Linked DNA regions of Neodiprion lecontei. The protein of the gene in region 2 purifies or fractionates together with the protein of the main gene of each other region. This does not show direct contact. Links are inferred from orthologs where the notes say so. Each region holds a gene or a part of one and is shown on either strand. Other genes may lie near its edges. The genes, in order: putative transferase CAF17 homolog, mitochondrial; iron-sulfur cluster assembly 2 homolog, mitochondrial.

Region 1 (12,509 bases), on a different chromosome or scaffold from region 2:
TTTCTCCCTCTCCCGCGTCGGTGTCAAACTGTCAAGGTTCGCTACCAATCGAAAAAAATACTGCGAAATTTAACGGTAGCCGGGTACGCTGTTGATTCGAGGCTCTGCAAAACCATGGAATAACCGACGATGAACTCGTTAATATCCTTCTGTGTATTACTTTTGGAATAGATGATACGAGGTTTCGAAAATTGATCATTATCTAATATATATTCTTTCAACCGTGATCGGCGAAATAAGTTTATCTCCTAATGAAAAAGGTAACTCCAGCCCTGCAGGGTTAAAATGAGGGTAAAAAATTGAGACACAATTTAGCCGAGTTTCCAAAATTTAACTACGTTTTGCTTAAATTACACGGTTTACTGATTGTGAGTTTCAGACAATGGTTAAGTGGAAAAATAGGGGTTATTAAAAATATTACATCTTTACATTAGCGTATAAACCAACTTCGATTTCGTGATCTTTGAAACGGTTTCTTTCACATCGCTGACAATGAGAAAGAGTGGGTCGAGGGGGGGGGGGGGGGGGGGGGGGGGTGGCATAGAAGTTCTTCTCTTCCACTTCTCCTTCATCTTTTATTCAAATGTATAATATTTGTGTGCTGCTCTAGAAATAGTTGCTGCTGCTGCTGCCACGTCTGAGGTTGTCAAAGAAGTTGTGCGTCCGTAAAAATTTACCTGCGCCCAGGTTGTACCTGTGGCTTAGATTTACGTATATGTATGCATTTACGTATACATCATCTATACGTGCGCCGTGATCGAGATTGATTTTACATGATCACTCTTTGATAGATATCGACTCGAGTGGTCTCCTGTATGGTTGGAGATAAAGTTCCGGACGTAAGGCGATGATAGATAATACGCACGATTGACGATGATACGTATACTGTACGTTGAAATTGAAATCCCCGTATCATAATATAGCAATAACAATCATATCGTTAATTCAATCTGTATGCGTGATCGTGGCAACCAAGGTTTTTCAGTCAGATTAAAGTTCAATGTTAAATGACCATAAATAAGTTAAGGACCTTCACAGGCAAGTGAATTAATACAGTATCGTCGTATGCAACACACGTACACCCAACGTTCTTACGTCCTTGCCGTTTTTGCCTAATTATTACTCGACTCCGGTGAGGGCTGAACTTGAATGTCCGCGCATCAAATTACTCTCAAACTCTGCATGGAGAGTCGGATGTCATGTCTGGATTGAATTACGCTTCTCGGAGTAACATTTTACTCGCTCACACACACTCTCTCTCTCTCTCTTTCCGTGCTAATTCGCGCTCCTGATTTTACGTGAAATTTCGCGGTAAAGAGGTGCGTGGATACGAACAGAGAGAATAAAAGAAATATTCCGATAAAGCGAGGCACTTGCGCCGTCCAAACCTTATTTATCGAACTATTCATTTTTTTGCGATAATGAGATATGACATGCCTTGATTACGTAAAGTAATAATCATGCTACGTTAAAACATTTCTGAACAGAAAGAATTCAAAATAATTTCCGGTGGCTAAAAAATAGCCGCAATAACGGCCACGTTCAAAAATGTGTACCGGGGCAAAAAAAAAAAAAAAAATAGTAGGGTATTGTCTAAAAAAGCAAAATGAAGGTAAATTTGTTATCTTTAAAACGCCACTTGGAACGTTTGATTATCTTTATTTTTGAGTCCGTTATCTAATTTTCAGTGCAGCAAGAATTTCGACAAAACTATTGGCCGGTAGTGTATATAAGGGAACGATAATGATGAAATCTTGAACAGGGTTTGTTCCTATTACTATAAGCAACAACTCTGCCAAGTTTCAAATCGGTCCCTTAATTTATACCAAACTCATACAAAACGAAATAACTTGGTATAAAAACTACATGTATTCTACATTTAAAAGTTACGGAGCTTAGAAGTACATGTTTAAGTTGACGTAGGAACTTGAAATTTTGCACAGATTTTTCACAGATCTGAGCGACGTCGCAATGAAATTTTTTTTTAATTTATAAAAATTACATATATAAGATATCCCTTCCCTGTGGTCTGCAACTATAACTCACCGTCATACACATAGTAACATTGGTAACGGTTTTAAGATCACGAAATGATTCCAGTTCGAATAATTACGTATTATACTACATGCTTGCAGTTGATTACAGTATGCAGTATAAGGTCTACAATTTATTGAGAGATAAGCGACTACACTGGCATTGGCACTTGATAGCAGCAATTTTCTGTCATCTGCCTTGCACGTGTCAACCCGTCATTTCTGTGTAGTGGTTGAACGTGTTGTAATTTTTTCGTACGTTAAGAGACATGACACGGAGCGTAACAGCTAGTTATACCTTGATTGGAAATGTGATGAAATTTGAACGTACCGGAGTTAAGTAATATCACCCGTGTACTTCCCAGGGCGAAAGTAGAATACGCACACATCAAAGAATTTGAAGAGCAAGGGATAATTGGGAGTGGTTGGGGAAACAAGTTAAATCGCCTTCGATAACTAACTTGTTGAATTAGCTTGCGTACCGCCCGCTCTCGTAACTTTTCGCAAAACGACGCCACCACCTGCTTGACTTACATGCAACAGCCGATGTAAAGCCCGCCTTACCTGCACACTTGTTGAACGGCAGGCAGTCGCGCTGGAGCTTCTCAATTTTTTGCACGACCGTTGTCCTTGACTTGTGACGTAGGTACCGCCGACGTTTCGACTAGGTAACACGTGACTGGATACCGATGATGACGACGACGATGACTGTGTCAATCTGATTTTCTTGTCCCGATTATTATCACCTCACGGTGATTTTTGAATCGATAACTTTTCTTCGATTTTCTTTTCGTTTTTACAATTCTATTTCCCCTCTACCTATCGTTTGCGTTGTCATGGGTAAGTGTTCGTCGGTGTACGTGATTCGCGTTGCTGCCGATATACTCGCGGTGACCAGACCGTCAGGGTTCTTTTAATATGTATAAGAGAGAGAAAAAAATCGAAGCAGCGTACAGGAAAGTTGATACAAGCCAAACATAAATAAATAATGAACAATAAACTGACGAATTTGGCACACCGTCTGTCCGAGCCTCGTTACGTGTTCGAATAGAAATTATAGTTTTGTATAATAAGGCGGAACATCGATGAACCGATTCTTGGGCTGAGAAGCGCGACGCTCAACTCGGGAGTAATGAAACCAGCACTGACAATGAGAAATCTTGAGAAGTTCAGAATCGCCGCACCTCGCGGGAACTCCTCGAACTAATTTCACCTTGATTTCATTGAAGTTATCCAGACTGTAATCCGTGATTTACGGTGGTGGCGCCACCATCCGCATATTGGCCGTTGGCTGGAACTGACCACGCGGTAGTAGCGATGGCGTGACCGTGTAGTTTATATCGCTGTGTTCGCAAAAAAAAAAAAAAAAATGTCCACAGGAAAACGTATGAAATCCGTCAGTGTTGCGGAATGGAACCGTGCGGAAAATCTTCACGGTGGCTGCCTCAGAGCGGTGAATTTGAATTTGACTGCGGAACGTATGTTTTTTTTTTTTTAATATACCAATGATGAAAACGAGCGAATTCTATAGACTTATTATTCACTTTATAGAATATATTTTTTTAGACTACAGTATTGAAATCTGCCTTCAATGGAACAAAATACCAGTATTTATTTAAAGCGAATTTCAATGAAAATTCATAACTCGATTGCCAACAATATAGCTATTGAAGATATTGCAGGCATTGTGCAAGTATGCAGTTATGGTTGAAGTTTAACTCCACAAACTTAGGGTAACACATTAGGATTTACGGAACTGAAACTAGTAATGCGAATCGCGAATAGATATAAAAAAAAAAAAATTTCTACAAGGTTAAAAAATAAAACTATTATTGATTATAAATAAAACATTTGTCAGTTTCTGTACGACCGTATAAATCGAATATTGTAACAGAATGATGTTGTGGTTTTGAGGAGTAAAAAATTATCAACAAAGTCTTTGGGCAAAACGTACATAATGGTTTGAAAAGTATTGAATATACAGATATTTCGTTACACGATTCATTTGCACCAACTTACCAGGAGTTTAAACGACCGGCTGGTTTACCACCTCTGCCTAGGTTTGGCCAGACAGCATTGGATGGGCCCAAAAAAAATATAGACACCATGTATACTGTAATTACTGATACGTTGCACACTCCGTTTGGTAGCAGTGCTCGAAAGAAAGAAGTTTTAAGACTAAAACGACTTCGGTAAAAAAAAAAAAATTATTGATTACTATCAGCAGCAGCTTTCGAAAAACAACAAAGAGCGAACGTTGTCTTACTTTAGAAAAGTCACGAACGGAAAAATTATGAAAATAAAAGCTCTGCTGGGATTAGACAATGATAGAAATAGACCCTGATTATAAATGAGGCATTTTTCAGTGTGTGTACGCCGGTATAAATAAAATATTGTACTTGAAATCCACAAACACTCTTTTGCTATATGTAGTTTCGCTAGCTAACTAGTATTTCTTCCTAAACTATCTACCGTTTTATCAGGTCTTTACCAAAATATGGCAGGCTTCAGGTGTAAAGGAAAGCCACTGGATTCAGGAATTTGGCAGAGTCCAGAATTATAAGAGCTACTGCGAAAGCAGACGCTAGAAAACAACGGCGATCCTTTGCTGTCCTTCTCTTTTGTCTTCACTTCTTGCCACTGCGTACTCTGACTATTACAACTCTTATGCCTCTAGATGTGGCATATTCGAATGGTCAAGACATTCTGTAATGAACTGCCGTTTACGCTCACAGGATGTAGCTGTCACGGTAAAAGAATCCGATATAGAACGAATAGGGAAAAAATCAGACTTTGCTTTTCACATTTATATTCAAGTAACGGTCTTCTTGAAATTCAATGAATATGACTCATTTTCCGGCTAGCCGAATCACGAATGTATCACTCGTCGCGTAGGATTTGATCTCATATTTGAATTTTAGGGAACATAGTTTTCTCCCAATACTTGAATCGTTTTATTATCTTATCAGTCGTCAATGTGTGTTGTACATTTACATGATAGTAATGAAAATAAATTAAAGATTGTCATCGATCAGTTAACATCCTTCTTTTTCAAGGCTTTTATTTTGGCATGTAACTGAACGGGCAAACTGGACATTTTTTGTTGGGCGCAAGCCTGGCAGAATCTTTTGATAAAAAATAAACTACAGCCTAGACAAACTGGTTTTGTACAAACTCCACAGTCAGAACCTAGCACTAGGATTTCCCCCCTGTTGGGTAGGCTAAATGGATCCTTCATAATGTAGCATTCTTCCAAGTAAGTCATAGTCCTTGCAAACGGTGGCTTAGAGCCCTTGTAATCGTAACGTTCCGCTAATCCGCAAAAGCTACACTCAAACGTTTTGCCACGATCTTTTTCTATCTTCGTACTTTCCGGCTCCATGTTTACTCGCTTATGAGTTTCAGAAAACTCGGAATATTCCGCAGATGTGGTAGCTACTGACTCCATCCTAGAAATCAATTATTCATTTGGTTAATAAATAGATTTATTTGTCAGAAGACAATTTTTTCTATAACAATAACGAGATAAAGAATAAATAAGAGGATGTATAACAAGAACACAAAGAATGAACCTAAATCTATCGTATCAGTCTTTGCAGCCGGCATCGCTTATACAAAATAATCTCTCATCTATATTACTAATTGATTTTAAAAAATAGTAATATTGTCTATACAATATTATCCATTGGAGGCCCTTCTACCCTCATTTTCAATCGCTCTTTCCGATCGATGCACTTTCTTTGGGAGCTTCCTGCGGCCACCAGACAGGTTTTAAAGCCTTTCCCTTGAGTCCAGATATTCTGAGAGACTGAGCAGTTAGTGCTTCGGCGATACGGACAAGTCCAAGTCCATTCTCATTGACATGTCCCCTCAATTTACCAATTGATTTCTCACTCTCATCTGTAATGCTCTCGTCGTACTCTATGGGCTCAGGAGGGGAACTTTCAAGGGTAATGGGCATCAGTCGTTTTCTGACCACCCCTGTGTGGTATGTCCTTGCCGTCAATTCCTGGCCAATGTAGCAGCCCTTGTGAAAACTGACGCCGTGTAAATAATCGCAGTTTGATTCCAGAGGTAGCGCCTTGCCAGGCGGCAGGTCGTCGCAGCCCTCGCCAATTCCCAGCTTGTAAATGAGGGATCTGTAGCCAGTAGACACCTCCTTACTCTCCACGGTGTCTGGATCGACGCGAGCGACGATGTCTCCGGTTTGTGTCCCAAGGTCGGATAAAATGCGGAAACCAAGACCCGAGAACCTTGGATCTGGGTATATCCTGATGTTTTCTATGACTTTGCTCGAACTGGTATCAACGATATCAACCAGGGAATCACATGGGAATATCTGTCCTTCGAGCTTAATTTTCTTCGTTATGTTCGCGCCAGCGTTCCACGACTCAATCGATGCTTTGTCAGGATCGAATAATGCCCAGACCTTCATCTCGTTGCTCAGATCATCAATGTCTATCTTTCGCCTCACTCTGTAGAGCTTGAGGTGTTTTTGTACGGACATCAAAGCCCGACTGTCACACTCCAGCAGATAGACTCCGATCTCATGCGTTCGGTAGAGTATCGCGTCAAACATCACTCTGCCCTTCGTATTTAGGAACATTGTGTACATGCTCGCTTTCCCCTCGTCCAAGTGCCTCATGTCGTTAGTTATCAGACCTTGCAAAAACGAGGACGATTCTGTGCCAGAAACTCTGAGGAGGCTCCTCTTGCTCAGGTGTTCTATCACTTTGCTAGTTGGATTCGTCGAGTTGCTTCTCGTCATGTTGGCGGCTAGTCGAAGTCGCGATGGCCTCAGTTTAAACATATTTCTATTACGAATTGGCTTTTTACTATCTTTTCTTATCAAATTTCGAACCCTCCCGACTTGATTCCGGCGAATGTGATGAGAAGTAGAGGTTAAGTTAGGTTAGGAATTTTTGGATTTTCGTGCGGATAGAATGCAAGTATATCAACGATACGTGAAATCAGCTTACGTTATATTGTGTTTCATTCGCGCGGATAGTTTTCAATAATTTTACAAACAATTTACGGTCTCACTAGAAATGGGCGGGGGTGGATGGGGGACTCGCATTTAGAGGTTATAATATCCACTGCGTTGGTCGGATCGTCACATCGGGAATTCGCAATTTAGGTAATCGATAATCTGCCGATTGTCAGCTGCCCAGAGAGTGATGTCGCTGATCTCGTAGCGCCCTCTGACACAAAATAGGTATTTGGAACTAAGTTTCGAGATGGCTAGTCGACGAATCGACTGATAATTATTCTGCCGTAGATGATAGCACGGAAGCAGTGGATAATGGCGTAGAGTTACTGCCGTATTTGTGACTAAAATTGGCCAGTCAGTTAAAAATTAGTCGATGCATTGATTAGGTACATCGTATTTTTTTTGTAACGGTCCACACGAAACCAAAATTTCGTAAATTTCAGCCTGTAGTCTTAATAGTTGAAAAGTTTTGTTGCATAATTTATAGTTTCGTCTAAAATATTTTTCAATTTTAGGTGAATATCTTCATTTGTCTTTTACTTATTATAACAAATAGGTACTTAGTAAGTAAGACAATGATGACGATTGATATTCTAATCACATGAATACGCATAAATTGATATTGTATTACGTCGCTCATGGAAGTCAAGAAACAAAAACCGAATGTGAGGAAAAATAATCGCGTCCATCGATCAAACGATTAAAAAAAAAAAAAGAAATGTATTATACTTGATTAATCCGGAAAAAATAATCGATTCAAACGAAAATCGATTGTTATTGATAATTCTTAGTCGTGACAGGGTCAGCGAATTTCTTCCTGGAGATCGATACAGTGATCATTTATTTCGTTATCTCGTATTACCAGGTAACGAATTTTATTGCATCATTCGGCATTACTGATTGTTTTGAAATTTTTAGTAAATGTAAACCGTCGATTGTTGTTTAATTCTCATACATATTAAGTTTCTAAATAAGTATATGGTAAATTTTGAATGCTGTTTAAATCGATTTGAAAAGTTACCTCGCTAGAAAATTTTTTTTTACCCGATCACAGAAACAAATTGTAACTACGTTGATCGGCGTTTGTGATTATTTGAATTGAAAGACTCTGTGAATGAATCTGGGAAGAAATCATTCGCTAGCGAAACTGATGAATTGATTACAGAAAATCAACCGGTGTAAAACGGATCCGAATGATTTCCCACTTGATTATGTAATCAGTAACGTTTTGCGAGACTCGACGCAATAAGTAACGCTCTAAAATTGCATGTACTTAAACACTCAGTATATGGATGTTGAACACGAAATATTAACAAAATGTTGTGGTCTTTTACCTGATTACAGAATTAAGCCGCAGCTGAACTGATTGAGGTTAGCGAATATCTGAATGTTACTTTAATAATATTCGTTGGTCAACCAAATTCCGAAGCTGAACAGTTCATAATGCTGTGGCAGGATAAAACACAGGTATACACATGAAATTATTCTTGATTATACTAACACGCTACTTTTGTCATCAGAAATTTGTCTTTCAGTTGAATTTTTTTGTTATTCGATCCTTGATTATATTTTGTAAAAACTATCCTAAATTTTCAATGGTTCATGTGTCGGTTTGGAAAATGGAATACTGATAACATGTTGTTATCTCTTACCCAGTTATAGGGTCAGTACTATCGACTGCATTTATAATAGTTATGCTATGAAAGAAATAACCCGACTCAATCGACCTCTGAGAACGAAGTGAAAACTTGACCAACCACTACAGTGAATAAACGTGGAAGGTACGTAACTGATATGATTTTTAATTGCGTTGTCGCTTTTGGCCGTAAACGATTTTAGAATCTCGACTGATGTTGAATGCTGATCACTGATTTTATACTTTCCTCACTGATCGTACGCACTCTTATTCGATACTAACTTGTGCTCATTTTGATAGCCTTGTTACATAATTCATTTCTATAATTTATTTATTATTAAATCAAAAACCACGGCAATATCATGGAAAAATAATTTATTTGCTTCCAACAATGGGCTGATGATGAGTGAACAGGAGGCGAGCCATTAAATTCATTCTACAATCGAAGAGGATGGGTGATCTGAGGTGAATAGTCATAAAAATTTGAAAACGGACCTATTTTTATTGGTCAAGTATTGACGAATTGTAGTTTTTCGTGATACAATTTTTGCTTCTCACGTACATGAAACTAAAAATAATGATTCGGTATTGTATGAGGGGTATGGAGCCGTGATAAATTCGTATTTCCCTATCTTATTCCGAGTGCATCCCGCTAAATACATGTATCGATGTTTCACAATAGCAAATGATGAGACTTAATATTACGAAGGCACACAGTGTGAGAAAAGCGCAATTCGTTTGGTAGATACGGTTGAAACTACACATTTTTCACCATTTTACTTGAAACGTGGAGTTTGTTGACTCAAAGGTAAGCTTTCATTTACCGCGATCACGATTAATAATACACGTACAAAAGTATCATACACGGGACACGTAACAGCGATAATAGGAAAAACATTACATCTATTCTACTTCGTTATCTATCAGGTCCATATGATTAAATGATATAGGTATCTACGTTACATTCGCTCATTGGTAAACAGCTCAACAGTTATTGTTGGTGTGGTCTCGTCTCGCAGAAATGAAAGTTGCGGTGAACTTTCATGAAAATCTGACCGAGGAACCGTTTTGGTGATCTGAGCGACAGCCTGAGATGAGAGCCAAGTTCGGAAATGTGCCTGAATAACCAGTACTGCTGGTGTTGCACAGGAACGGTGGACTTCTTGCCGATTCTATGAACTATTTTGTCTATAAGTTCGGGCGAGGGTTGTCGCAGGTCGTATGCCCATCCGATCTGGGCAAACGCGTCAATAAACATCGTTGCCGCGTTGAAGTTTATGTAGGGCAACTCGGAGGCCTTGTAGTCCCAAGGGAACGTGTGGTGATAATTGTGCGATCCTTCGCCACCCGTCAGCACCGAAACCAACATATTTTCAGCCGGGTTTATCAGTCTGGGTACAAAATGATAAAAAATCACAATTATACTTGCAATTAAACTCAACGTAAAGTAGAAAGACAGAAAAAAAAACCGTTCATACCGACCTGTTGTAAGGTCGATCGCCCCAAAGATGTGCGAAACTGTTTATGCTCCAGAGGCAGTGTGCGCCCAGGACGTAGCGTATGAAAACCTGAGTCAGCACAGCATGCATTACAGTTTCACCCCAATATATTACCGGGATTATCGTCGGTAATGTGAAGCAGAATATGATGTTTAGAATGGTACCGTATCTGAATTAAAAATTAGGAAATAGTACATTATGCGACCAAGGAATAAAGTCAAAGATTATTCCCGTAAATTTGTTTACTGGTAACACTACTGTAAAAAAAATAGAAAGGCGCTATTTTGATTAATTTTTTTTTTACGGAAGAAACGCTAATAAGATAATAATATTTAAGGATGTCATTAGGCATACATTTAAGTATAATACAGAAGATTGTTATCAAAAAATATTTAAAAATGGCGATACTGGAGCCATTCTCGCGGTACATGTTGAATTCTGCAAATGGCGGAAATTTGAATTAGGAAAAAAAATAGAAAAAAGGATTTTTTTTCTGGATTCTCGCGGGCAAAAAAAAAAAAAAAAAAATGCGCGTGTTTCAGGTTTTTACATTGACGTTACCCCTCAAGACGGAATAACGTGCTACTTTCGTCCCGCTTTTTAGGTAAAAAAAAGTCAACATTATATGGCTGAGTCGGGAATAAATAAGTTCTCACTTCTTGCCAATTATAATCGTAATGCGAAAAATCGAAATTAGACGGAAAAGTGGGCGTCGTACTTTCTCTGGAACATGGCGACTCTGTCGTTCCTTACGTCGGTCATGTCGACCTCTCTCCCTCGGCGCAGACACTCCGGGTGACGATGGACGCAGAGCCAGCCCATGTGGGAGAACCAGAAGCCCCGCTTAGCGTTGTGGGGATCTGCGTCCGTCTCAACGTACTTGTGGTGGACCCTGTGGTCCCTTGCCCAGTCGTAGATCGTGTACTGTGAAGTTCGTTAATGCGCGGATTTTGAAAAACGAACTATTGTTCGATGGAAAATTTTTAACGAGCTTTTATTTTGCTCTCTCTCAAATTTCTCGGTACTTTGATCAGGGGTACGCTTACCAATCCGAGAACGGAGTAGAGGAACATCAGCAGTATTCGCAACGGGAGATTTGCCTTGTACGAGCGGTGAGACCAGAGCCGATGTGCTCCTGCCGTTGTTCCAACGAATGCTCCACAACCGACGATGAATACTGCGGCATTAACGAAATAAAATAGCCATTGTTGCAGAAGTTGTGAGAAATCATTAGTTTTCAAGGGAATTATTGGTTGATGTTAGATTCCGAGTTGAGAAACTTGTCTGATTCCAATTGATAGAGTTCCGAACCTTCGAAAAGTCTGCTTATTCAAATGTCAAGTACATTTTTCCGTTACAGTCAGTCCTACGAAAAGTTCAAATTTCTGAAATAAAATTCAATCGTCTGGTGCTAGGGCATTAGCTTAATATGTATATAAAATTATGACGCGCTGTAAACGCGAGAAAATTTGTTGTTACGAAGGTGATCGTACAAAATAGTCATAATTTGATGCATCGTAAATCATTCGAACTTATGAGAGATATTTAGTTCGATAGAAAATATGAATTTTCTCTTGTGCAAGCAAATCTTCTTTCAGACGTCCACCTTAGGTGATCGGCTATAATTGGAGGTGTAACACAAATCAACCATCGAAACCTAAGGTTGTAAAAAATGCTTTTCATTGAAGATTATGACACGTATTTAACGTTCATCGCAGTGTTCTCGAATAGTGAAATCAACGGATTATACTGACGAGGTTGCAGTTCGTAGCATTATTAAAGCGATGCATTTTCGGCAGAACGGATTATTTTGCAACATTAGCATTGTCTGAGATTAAGCAAAACATAGTAAAGTCAGCTCATATTTTGCAAAATAAACTCATTGAAAAATGTTCCGAACATGATGTGAGATTACAATTTTTCTCACCGCGTTTCGGTACGTTGACGTTACGAATTTCAACCTCATTTAAATTGTTCGTAAAAAGTTTTTATTTAATATAAATTTAGCAATCAACGAAGGGACCGCCTTGAATGCCGACTTTACGTATTAGATTCAGGAATATCAGCTTGAAGCACTTCAATAAATTAGGCTAGATTTCGTATAACTCACTCCAAGCAACGGTCATCGGTTTAATGGGTATCGAATGTAGTCCGAAGGCGTACATCGTCAGGGATCCTACCAATCCAACGTTGAGTATTACCATGGGAATAAACTGACTCCATTTGATATTATTCCAAATGTAATTCCACGTCCAGTGTTCGGCAATTTTCTCTCTGTATGCCTCCTCGCATAGTTTCTCGACCGTTGTTTCATCACGTGCAGCTGCACCAGCGTCCGCGAGTGTGACGGA
Region 2 (11,703 bases):
GAACGTGGACCTTCGGGAACAGCTGAAAGAGAAGGATGTTGAGATACGACGCAACGAACAGGAGCTCGACAGCTTATCGTTCAGAAATCAGCAGCTTACGAAACGTGTCACAGTGCTGCAGGAAGAATTGGACGGAATTCAGAACAGAGGTAAAAAGAACCGCAGTAAATCCTTGGAGAAGAAGAACGCGTCCTTCCCCCTTCCCGTGTCGAATCACATCCTAGACGAGGAGTTCCAAAAAAAGATCGTTGAGAATGCTCAGCTGATTTCCCAACTCAGTGACAAGGAGGTTGAGATCGTCGGACTGAACGAGAGGATAGATCAGTTGGAGTTCAAGCTTGACCAGTTGGAGAAAAACAGAGCTGAACTGGAAAGCAAGCACCATGCCGCAGCAGCCAGATTTGAAAAGGAGCGCAAGGAACTACAGAAGAAGTTGAGCGACAAGCATGATAATTCTGTGTCACGACAAAACGGGGAAAAGGATTCGTTGCACAGGGATTCGGCACGAAATTCAAACGACTGTGAAACAGAGGATTCCGATTCTGGATACGGAGTCCATCATATTCATCACCCAGAATCAAAGCCCTCGAATTCACCGTCGCCCCAGAGACTTCTCGGCCCTCGAGCCAAGTCCAGGATTCCCGAAAAGTCTGTTTCGCAGGAAGAAACTACCGAAGAACTGGACATTGGCAGATTGTTTGAACTGGAGAAGCAACTTAACTTCTGGAAGTCAGAGTATAATGTGCTCAAGATAAAGTATGATCAATTGAAAGCAACTGAAGAAACGAAAACTAGTCAAATTCAAAGTCATACTGCCGAATCTGTAGAAATAACTAATATGGTAATTCAGAGATATTCTACTACCAATAGCTAATATTCAACGCCCACTCATCACACCTACCTTCCGTCTTGCAGTTAGGAAGGCTCAGGTCACCGTTTGCCATTCCTGAAGAGATCGAGGCTCGTGAATCAAGAATCAAGGAGTATTATAAGCAGCAGATTGACGAACTAATTTCGGAAAAACATGTTTATCACATAAGAAACTTGGCTATAGCTGCAGATGTGAGTACAAGTTGACCCTAAACTGTTTCAAATATGTATTCTACTAAAAACTATTTGTAATTTCAGACTGAAATAATGAATATACACTTGGAAACGAGCGAGTCTAAAAGGCAACGGTGTGAGGAGGCATTGCAAGAATTGCAGGCAAGTCTTGCCGCAATGCGCGAGGATCACGAAGTACAAGAGGGAAATTACAAAGCTCAACTTAGCACTATAAGTGAGCACCTTGCCAACATGAATGATAAATTGATTCAGCAAACAGAGGAAATACAGCAGCTCAAATTTGAGTTGGGGAATAAGGTGAGCCGAGTCAGGAACCGCGATTTTTACCCATCAATAGATCATTGATATTTTTTTTTTTCCAGAATGCGAAAAAAGGGAAGCAAAAATAAATTTGCTGGCATTAAGCTGGAGCCTATGTCACATTCCATGGATATGCCTGTTAATCTGTGTGATTATCACAATACATAGTGTAAAACATAATCTCGTGTAAATAATACAATGATGTCCACTACGTTCATTTGTAGAATTTAGTCAACGTTAAATATTCAGTTTCATTTTACCTAACGCGGTATAACCGCCGTCACATGTTTATGAGATTGAAAATATAACGTAAGTAAAGGAAATGAATACATGTATAATTTAAAGCCTTTCTTGATCAGTTGTTTTGCTTTTTCAACTCGTTGAAACGAATTTTATTATAAATTATCAACAACCTATGTGCAATGTTTTCGTAACGCCTTATCTGTCGCTAATCATTAATACATGACATAATTTCATGTAATATACTTATAAATATACACGTACGTGTATATATTCCTATGTACATACACGTACATTTTACTTATAACATCAACTACCACTTAAAAACTACAAAATAAATTAACGATTTCTTTGCAATCATTGCGAGTCTGTAAAAATATATGGACCATTTTCAAAACCGATAATTAGAATCGAGGAGACGATCTGCTAAAAATTATGATTATTTGTATCGGGTCAGTCTACTTTAATAGCGAAACTGGCACCGCAGCTACACCCTTGTTCAGCTAGAGGATTGTTTGTTATTCTAAACGCCGAACGAATTAGTTCCTTGTGATATTCAACAGTCGATCCCTTGACGTACTCCAGCGAAGTTGTGTCTATGATCACTTTGACTCCGTCTTTTTGAAAAACTCTGAAAGAAGTAATTTAGTTGTTAATAAAACATGAAAGCCACTTTTGTAACGATGCACAAGCTTACCTGTCATCTTCGTTTATCGTTGAGTCAAGATCGAATTTATACTGAAATCCTGAGCATCCCCCTCCTTCTACAGTAACCCTCAGGCACGCCTCTTCAGCGCTGGTTGCCAATTCTTTCAAGCGTTGAGCACAGCTGTCGCTGACTATTAGGCCGGTATCTTGTGGAGCTGGCGATGTATTTGTGGCAGATGTCCAACGTGCCGAAGCCCAGATACCACCGCGCCATGGCGACCTAAAAATTGACAATACTTCAATAGATATCGTCGCAGACGAAACGTCAAGAAGCGTCATAATAGTCTAAATGAATAGCGAGGAAATCTGATAAGATTGTTTTACACGAATCAACCCCACTTTATTGACAGTTAAATGTAAATATTGATCTCGACAATGTCGGTTGCCTCATGACAAGGTTTAGAGGGTGCGTATATGACTTTTGTTTGGATACGATGACCGACCGGACGTCGACGTTGCCACATGAAAATACATATAAATTATTGAAACATAATCCCGTGGTTCTGGGATCGAACGATAAATAGCAAATAATCTACGTCGCTGGTTTCCTGTTTCATATTTCCGTAATCGTGTGATAATTGCGTTACTCACGTGAGAAGTAGTCGCGAAAAATACTGGTTCGAGGAGAAATTGGAGGAGAGATCCCTCACCGCCTGCCCCAATTTCGCCATACTTTAATGACTTAATGTCCACCTGACGGCTGACGTTTTCTTTTCTTTTTAATGACTATCGGGTTCTATTCCCAACTGATGTCGCAGAAGTACACTTTATCGTTACGTTACCGACATGTATTCGTCGTCGAAAATTAGTTCCAGAAGCCTGGTCGAAGGGCCGCGGCGTTACTCTAGTCTTGCTAGTTTTGTCCATAAGCGGCAGTGCAGGCAAGTAAGATTGGCGTTCCGATGAAGATATCAGAAAAACTTTTGTCAGAATTTTTTTTTTTGCATCCGAAAGGAAAAACGTAGCGGATCGAGTGGACGTGTTAAGATCGCAAAAAAGAAAAAGGAGATCGGGTAGGAGAATTAGAGATTTTATTCTTTACAGAACAGTTGTGCCAGAATGGCTGGACGTGGTCTGATTGTGAACAAAAACAGTACTCAACATGTGTCCGTACTGGATCAAAAGTTTTCTGACCAACTGCTTTCGTATAACTGAAATGTTACATTTATTAGATCACATTAGTGAGACCTTTGACGGATAATTTATTCGAATTGTTTTCCATTTCGAACGGGATCTATTCGACTTCTCTAATTGTTAGATCAGCGACAGCGGACCGACGTGCCATGTGGGCCATGTGACCTGTAGACGAAATTGATTCTCTCATTTCGTTACAACTCCTATGGACAGACAGAAGCCGTTTTGTATTTCCCACATTTTAATAAGATTTTGCATTAAAAACGAATAGCCACTTCGCGATAATAATGTTCGACTGTATTATCTGGGCACACGCGGTGAGCGACGGTAACGTCAGTTCTTCTCGCCTCTACGTACCGACTGATATGCACCTGCAGGGGAAGATGAAGAGGGCGCGACTTGGCAACGAATTAATCTCGCCCATTTTCGATTACGAAAGGTCCCGTAACACTAGCAGTCCTTGCACGCGAGCGGCCATTGAACGGCTTACTTCAGGAGTGTGTGTAAACTCTATGTCGATTCCACGGTTTCAGATCCTTCTACTTCATGCTGGTAGAGATTCCGCGAATGGTGCCGCGGCGACGACGCGACGGACGAACCGATCGAGCGACGGAGCGCGACGTCTGTGCTGACGGAGCGAAGGGAGCGACGAAGGAAGGACGGAAGGTGGCTTCGCAGGAGGGTGAAAGGGAGGCAAGGGAGGGAGCGAACGAACGAACGAGCAACGCTAGATATTCCCGTATTCCCCGTTCCGCCGCGTATATCTTGGCCGTGTTAAAGGGGCCCTTGGATGTGCCTTGGATAGTCGTGCGGATCGAGCCCTGGGTCTCGAGTTTTTTTCCCTCTCGTTAACTGCATCGGAGTCGGTGAATTTTTACGGAAAATCGACCTTGATGGCTGTCAGGGTATCGCGGCGGGTCTGTAACTCGTCAATGTCGTTTAACCCCGACTTTTTTATTAAAGTGTCTCGTTCGACACTGCTATGCTACGCTAGTTGTTAAGTATTATGTGCAACCGTCGGGAGGAGGGAGAACCAGTGTTGATTGTTGAGCAACGGTGACCAGAATAAAGAGAAAAAAAGATAAAGAAGCTAGAAGGAACGAAGAAAAAGTCGCAAAGAGGGAGTCCGCTTTTTTTAAAACTGGAACTAACAACCTCTGTTTTCTCGACCCAACAACTACACACTGTTACTGTCGACCGCACCAACACTCATACCACCAACGGTGAAGGTGAACGCTCAACGTTAGACGAGGAAAAAAAAAGACTACGATAAAAAGAAAAATAATAACAATAATAACAATAATAATAATAAAACGAAGAAGAAGAAAAAGAGGAAGAGGAACCAATCAGTCACAAAATAAACACGAATCACCGCGTTATCAAAAGTAGTGAAAAATTTTGATTCCTATTTTTCTCCCGTTTCACCCCCTCTCGTAAATTGTCCCACATCTTTGCATCCCTAGGGATTCTCTCGGTATTGGAATTCGAGTATAAATCCGAGAGTAAGTAAAGAGAAAAGAAGAATCACCCACCCTAAAGCAGACTGTCAAAAACACCTGAGGTTTCATCGTCAGTCGTTGAGACGGTCAAGCGTATACAATAAAGTGGCAGGGAGACAGGTAAAATGTTCACTGGCACGGTTAAGGTAAAAATATGCGAAGCATCTGGCCTGAGGGCAACGGATAAGCAGAGAAAATTCTGGCAAGATGAACCGCCAATTCTGGATCCCTATGTCCTTCTGGACGTCGACGAGAATCAGCTCGACCGCTCTTCGACCAAACCAAAGACCTTCGATCCTGTGTGGAACGAATCGTTCACGCACCATGTCCTGGATGCGGGGACGCTCGGGCTGACCGTTTTCCACGACGCAGCTCTGCCGCCCGATGATTTTGTGGCCAATTGCAGCATCAGATTCGAAGATCTGGTTCACCGAGAAGACGATGCAGCTGATTTCTGGGTTCGTGGTATTCAGCTATATTGTCCTTTTCCTAATCGTAGCACTATTGAAAGAATTCTCAGCTTTGGCGTTATTAAATGCAACGATACAATATTTCGATGAAACGTTTATTGTGAATATGCAGCATGCTGAGATTTTGTTGTCGCATAGGTGTGATATTCTTAGTAATGTTTCTTTTATACGGTTGATAGCGGTTTAGATAAGAAGAGTTATGCGCAAATATACTTTGTCCTTTCGTAAGCGAGTCAGAGATTGCTAGCAGTTCGCGTTCGCACCTTGGTTAATTCATATCGAAAACGAGAAGTATCTCTCATTAAGGAGAGAATTCGAATCCAAATCTTATGGCTGATATTTGTATGTGCAAATTTTATTTAGAGTATTGTGTGTTGGGCAAATTCTCTGTTTGCAAGATTTGTTTGGATTTTCTGTAAAATAAGAGTGTTGAAAAAAAAATTGACGGTTGGATACTCTACTTAATTTTCCTCTTTAATAAGAAAATGTTTCAAACACACAGAAATTATGGTTTTGAAAAGTGTTTTCAAAGGCTGATTCACATTCGTGCCGAGACCCTGAAAAAGGCGGCTATACTTTACCCCAGCGAAACGGTATTTATTAATCATCGTTGTTGTACATTAAAAAAATTTAACGTTATTGAGATTTCGTTCACTGATTTAAAGTGGAATTACCAAGATTTTCATCGCTCACCGTATTTATTCCGTCGACGGGTGTTAAATCCCTACCAGGGAGATAGCACAGAAACAGAAAATCATCCGTAGCTCTTCGTCTTTAACATATTTGCTGTTTTCATCGAGAAACGAGGGCAGACTGCACCTATATGACTGTTAGTGCTTACAACGCTCTGCTGCGTAGACTAGATATAAATTAAAGCCTTGATGGCTTACTGAGGCCACAAGTATGCATATGTGTATCATAGATAAGAGGCGAATACTTATCTTTGTCTTGAATGGTTTTGATTATTCGGTCAAAAAATTTATTATCTGCTCGGTAAAATCAAATTTTTCCCACTGCAAATGTTCATGAGATCAAAGTTAATAACGCTAGCTTAATGAAATATTTGTGTGTGGGGAGGGGGACATCTATTCTGCAATTTTGTAGTGACTCTGAAATGGCCAAGTTTCCAAAATATGAATCTCTTTTGCCTTATAATTTATTCCATTTCATATATTCCTAAAATTAGGAAATAACAAGTTTTCCGAAATTTGAATCATTGAAATAACAATACCAATTCCAGTCATTTATTTAGCATCATGAATTTTCTCACAGGAAATTTTCTACAAAGCTTCTTGAACTCTGAGCTGTTAGTCATTCTTAGAAAATTCATTTTGCAATTGTCTTTGTGTTCAATGCATCTTTGAACATTATTCCGTAAAAACATAATCAATTGTATCAAATTTTTCCTCACTTTCCACTCAAACTGCAAGGTTTTTGCAACATAGACAAGTGTTGAGGATTCTGGAGAATTTGTTACTATACCGTGTCGTCCATAATTGTGCAATTAAGATTCCTTATTCAAGGCTTTCATGCCTCAACATGTGGACATTGCCATGGGGAATATTTTAGATTATTGTAGCTACCGTCATGTAAGTATCCTTTGGTCTGTCACATTTCATTGCAAACACAAAGGAAGAAAGATTTGGCTGATTTTTATTACAATCAGAATCATTCGCAACAAACATCTGAATCAGCAAGCAATTGCCCTTAAAGGTAGGATTTTAATTCTATTTTTCAGAAAGGTCGTCTTAATTTAACGTTCGTGTATAAACATCCCTGTACCTCCTCCTCGAATTCCGCTATAAAATAAATGAACCGGCACTCGCAATGGTAACATCTTTGAATTTTGCTAGTCGCTTTTACTCCGCAGGGATTACCTGCAAATATTGTACCTAATTGGTAATACTTTGTGTTTTCATTGTTAATAAATAAGCGATGTTGCGTAACTTTTACGCAGACTGAACTAATAGTCTTCATTCGTTCCAGGTCGACCTTGAGCCGCAAGGAAAACTGAGGATACAAATAGACCTGAAATGGACGAATCAAGGTCAGTGTCGGCACATGTTTCCATTGAATAATTTGCCTGGAATAATTTATAATAAACATGCAAAGAGAATTAAATTCTTTACTGAGCAGACTAGAACAAGTACAATACGTACAATGAAAGGTACAAAGAATAGCATAGATCGTCTTTAGATCTATTTCTAAAGGAGCAAAGATGGAAGAATTTCAACTTGTAAAACAGAGTGAAATTGTAATGCTTTCATGCAAAAACAGAGCAACAACAACCTGGCTGCGGAAGCGGTGGGTTGGGCGGAGGGTCCGGAGACACAGGCGGCGGAAGCGGAGTAGGCGCAGCGATAGGAGGAAAAGAGCCGAGACGAGAGTTTAAAGAGCGACAAGGTTTCAATCGCAGAAGAGGGGCGATGCGAAGAAGGGTGCATCAAGTCAACGGGCATAAATTCATGGCGACTTTCCTGAGGCAGCCTACATTCTGCTCCCATTGTGGCGACTTTATATGGTACGTACTTCGATCAATGTATCCTGTTGTTTTTTATTCTTAATTTTTTTTTCCCCCTGTGTTTGTACTGTACTAAAAATCGTATCAAACCGAGGACAAAACTCTCACCTATATCCAACATCCGCTCGTCTTTGGATTTTTGATTCACAATCGAATACTCGATACTTGGTTAAAAAATACGTGTCTGGATACGGCGAATCCAATTTTCAAAACATGCAACAGTAATTGCAGCAAGAGTTCGGATGTTTGGACTGATATTTTTTTTAGACATAGAATGGGTAATTTTAGTGTTTAATTGGGCAATTTGTGGGAATACTTTGTATGTGCTCGTGTAGGTCTCGGCATAAATACTTCTCCCGATGTCTGCTTTATTTAAGGAAATGCGACACAGTTTACTGTGGGTGAAAAACAACGGAAGGGAAACATTTCCGCTGTATGAGTGCCGAGTCCGTGTCCCGGGTGTGGTGGTCTTTCTATTACAAAAATAATAATATTTATATATCATTACAATCCTCTCAATCATCAAACACAAATCTGCATGCATTTGGTTCTTCTTTTTGTGATTAAACTGTGGGAGGAGTAATTGAAACTGCGTGGACATTGGTGGAATTGGGGTTGCACGCTTTGGTATTTCACACAAGCTGACGTTACGCATTTCTACTGCCAAATCTTAGGATCAATCCAGTTGCACTTTGCTTCAAACAATTTGAAACCTAGTCTGTTCGTTTCGTAAATGCTAACGTCTAGGATACGTGGTCCATTTCTTATCATCCAAAGTGACGCGTAATGTCAGGTTGCCTTTTAATCTCTTGGCTTAGGGTAAACGATAGAAACAGTAGAGGTAACTTCTGGGTAGCAACGTCAGAGGAGGGATACGCGTATGTGTTATTAGGGATTTTGAGGAGACGATGTGACGTGTTTTGTCTGTTGTATTTCAGGGGCTTCGGCAAGCAAGGGTATCAATGTCAAGGTGAGGAAGACACAAAATCACGTTATTAACCGATAGTAATAATTAATTGCCTGCTTGCGGAATCCCATGTGCGTATTAATATTTTTTGCTGTACCAAGTTGCTCCTATATACGTACGCTCCCATTTCCTATGTCCCAGAGACACCAATGATCCAAAGATATTTCCCATTCGTCGATCGCTTTCTGCTTGAGTAGGTGTTATTTTGTTTATTTGCTTATTTTATATTATTTTTATTTCATTCCGATTATACTCAGTCAGGGTTCAGACCTACATGCACTTGCGTCTTGCCAAAGTACGAGTGAAAATATTTTACGGATCATTTAACCATGTTTGTGCCCCTATGTCTCTTCTTCTACCTGTATTCTTCTTATCATGTATTATATGTCTATGTCATGTTGGATGACTTTAGCGCATGTCCGTTTTACTTTTTCCGTTGTACAATTTATTTGTTTGATTATGACATTTGTTTGTGCGTTTTTCAATCTACAAGGTGGGATAGCAGAGGTTGTTAAGCTCCTACTTGCGTTATTTTATTCTCACACCTGCTCTTCGCAAAACTCTCTATTGTAACGTACAATTAACATAATTTTATTTTATGTTTTCTTCGCCCTGCACGATTTAACACAAATTTTCACAGTGTTTTATGTCACAGAAATGAAATGAGCGATTGCAGTTCAAACGGCGCATGTTTATCGGAGCTTACTTAACGTACTGTTTTTCGAATAGCCTCTTTCACACATTTTCAAAGAACGAGAGAAAAAACGAAAATAACAATTGCTGTAGAATATATGTGTATAAAAAGTTTTCCCTACGTTTGTTACAGTCTGCACATGTGTCGTTCACAAAAGATGTCACGAGTCCGTCGTCACTGTTTGTCCAGGCATGAGAGACGAAGTAAGTGTTGAACGAACCAAGTTCCTGGAACAGAAACTGAATTTTTCTCAAGTTGGTAACTGTATTATCGAAATTATCTCAGGGGGGTGAGAAACTTCCTTACACCGCTAGGGAGACGATGTCTATTTTTTTTTGTTTCGTTTTTTATTTTAATTCAAACTATCTGCCCGTTTAGGGAAACGTTCATATTTTACAGACAACCCAGAGTACCCAGAGCCAAAGATTCAGTGTCAATGTTCCCCATCGCTTTGTCGTACACAGTTTCAAACGGTTCACATTCTGCGAACATTGCGGGTCTCTTCTGTACGGTCTTATAAAGCAAGGCCTACAATGCAAAGGTAAATCTTTTCCATTCAATCATTACCAATGCGTTAATCTGTTGTTGGATTTTGCGACGTTTCGTTAAGTCAGCAACTTCCAAACTCGGGTCAAATGTCGATACAGTTTTGTCTTACTTTCGGTAATTATTTTCAGTCTGCCATATGAGCGTGCACAAGAGATGTCAAAAGAATGTTGCAAACAATTGTGGTATCAACAGAAGGCATTTGGCTGATCTCTTGAACGAAATGGGAATTTCGCCGGACAATAAGAACAAACCAGCCAGGATCAACTACCAGTCATCGAGCCAATCTGGTGGCTCTGGGTCGTCGGCTCCCCCGAACGAAACGTTCTCCGAAGGGGTGCCAGCCTCGAAATTGAAAGAACCGACCGACAGCGGAAGCGGCCCAGATACCGGCTACAGGAAGCTCGGGCTCGAAGATTTTCATTTCATCAAAGTCCTTGGCAAAGGAAGCTTCGGCAAGGTAATGCTTGCCGAAAGAAAAGGGTCACCGGACGAAGTTTACGCCGTCAAAGTACTCAAGAAGGATGTCATCATTCAGGACGACGACGTCGACTGTACCATGACAGAGAAACGCATACTAGCTCTGGCAGCCAAGCATCCGTTTCTCACCGCCATACACAGCTGCTTTCAGACCAAAGATAGGCTCTTTTTCGTTATGGAATATGTCAATGGAGGTGGGTGGTCTTGTCTTTTGCGAATTGGTTAAAAGAAAAACTTGATACGAACACCCCAAGAATGAAAGGTTGAGTTTTCACTAGATCTCCATCAAATTGGCGACACACCGGGAAGACCGGGAATAGTCGGGGAATTTCGTCTATCGGGAAAAAGTCGGGAAATTATGGTGAACCACAGAAAAAACTTGCTTTTTTTAAAATTGTTTTCAAACTTCATCTGTGCTTCGTAAATTCGGTTAAGCTAACTTTCAGAAATGGTATCGTTAAATTTCTAATTATTTGTGTAAAATAAACGTTAAGATCCAACTTTATATATTCAAGGCGCATAACTTCTAGAGCTTTTGGTCATAAAAGCTTCGTGGGAAAACGTCTGGAAATTCTGAATTTTTTGACGAGACAAGTTAGGTAATTTTATTTAGCAAAATTGTCGCAGCCCTGGTATTGTCGAGTTATTTAAAAAACAACGTAAAAATAAAAAAAGATTGGACTGGTTAACGTTTTCTAAGTTCGAAACGCATTCAAGCGAGAAGTTCTTAGTCTGGCTTATCAAGGTTGAGCAAATTAATAATTTATTTAAAATCGAAACGTACGTTCTGACAGTGAACTTTTAATGATCGACAGGTGATCTGATGTTCCAAATTCAAAGAGCTCGCAAGTTTGACGAGGCTCGTGCACGTTTTTACGCTGCCGAAGTTACGCTGGCATTACAATTTCTTCACAAGCACGGTGTGATATACCGGGATTTGAAATTGGACAATATATTGTTGGACCAAGAGGGGCATTGCAAACTCGCCGACTTCGGTATGTGTAAAGAGGGCATAATCGAAGGTGTCAAAACCACGACGACGTTCTGCGGCACCCCCGATTACATCGCGCCCGAGATAC

What was found.
Region 1: the proteins of iron-sulfur cluster assembly 2 homolog, mitochondrial (region 2) and putative transferase CAF17 homolog, mitochondrial purify together in Homo sapiens (co-immunoprecipitation; 4 studies listed by BioGRID and IntAct, with this or other methods). This does not show direct contact. The link is inferred for Neodiprion lecontei from reciprocal best matches to the Homo sapiens genes ISCA2 and IBA57.

Annotation. Positions count from the first base shown.
Region 1 is NC_060263.1:378,005-390,513, forward strand, and holds putative transferase CAF17 homolog, mitochondrial, read right to left. Parts: upstream 7,289-12,509; 5' UTR 6,844-7,288; coding exon 5,743-6,843; 3' UTR 5,708-5,742; exon of another isoform or gene 5,606-5,707; intron 5,483-5,605; 3' UTR 5,341-5,482; downstream 1-5,340. Other genes in the region: acyl-CoA Delta(11) desaturase-like, read right to left, coding at 9,651-10,050, 10,142-10,327, 10,877-11,082, 11,205-11,335, 12,269-12,509. UniProt on the Homo sapiens protein: Mitochondrial protein involved in the maturation of mitochondrial [4Fe-4S]-proteins in the late stage of the iron-sulfur cluster assembly pathway. Operates in cooperation with ISCA2 in the maturation of [4Fe-4S] proteins.
Region 2 is NC_060266.1:330,484-342,186, forward strand, and holds iron-sulfur cluster assembly 2 homolog, mitochondrial, read right to left. Parts: upstream 3,060-11,703; 5' UTR 2,985-3,059; coding exon 2,905-2,984; intron 2,534-2,904; coding exon 2,303-2,533; intron 2,237-2,302; coding exon 2,059-2,236; 3' UTR 1,750-2,058; downstream 1-1,749. Other genes in the region: paramyosin, read left to right, coding at 1-841, 916-1,062, 1,129-1,362, 1,403-1,555; protein kinase C, read left to right, coding at 5,072-5,404, 7,403-7,463, 7,694-7,937, 8,876-8,907, 9,731-9,852, 9,977-10,139, 10,276-10,818, 11,440-11,703. UniProt on the Homo sapiens protein: Involved in the maturation of mitochondrial 4Fe-4S proteins functioning late in the iron-sulfur cluster assembly pathway. May be involved in the binding of an intermediate of Fe/S cluster assembly.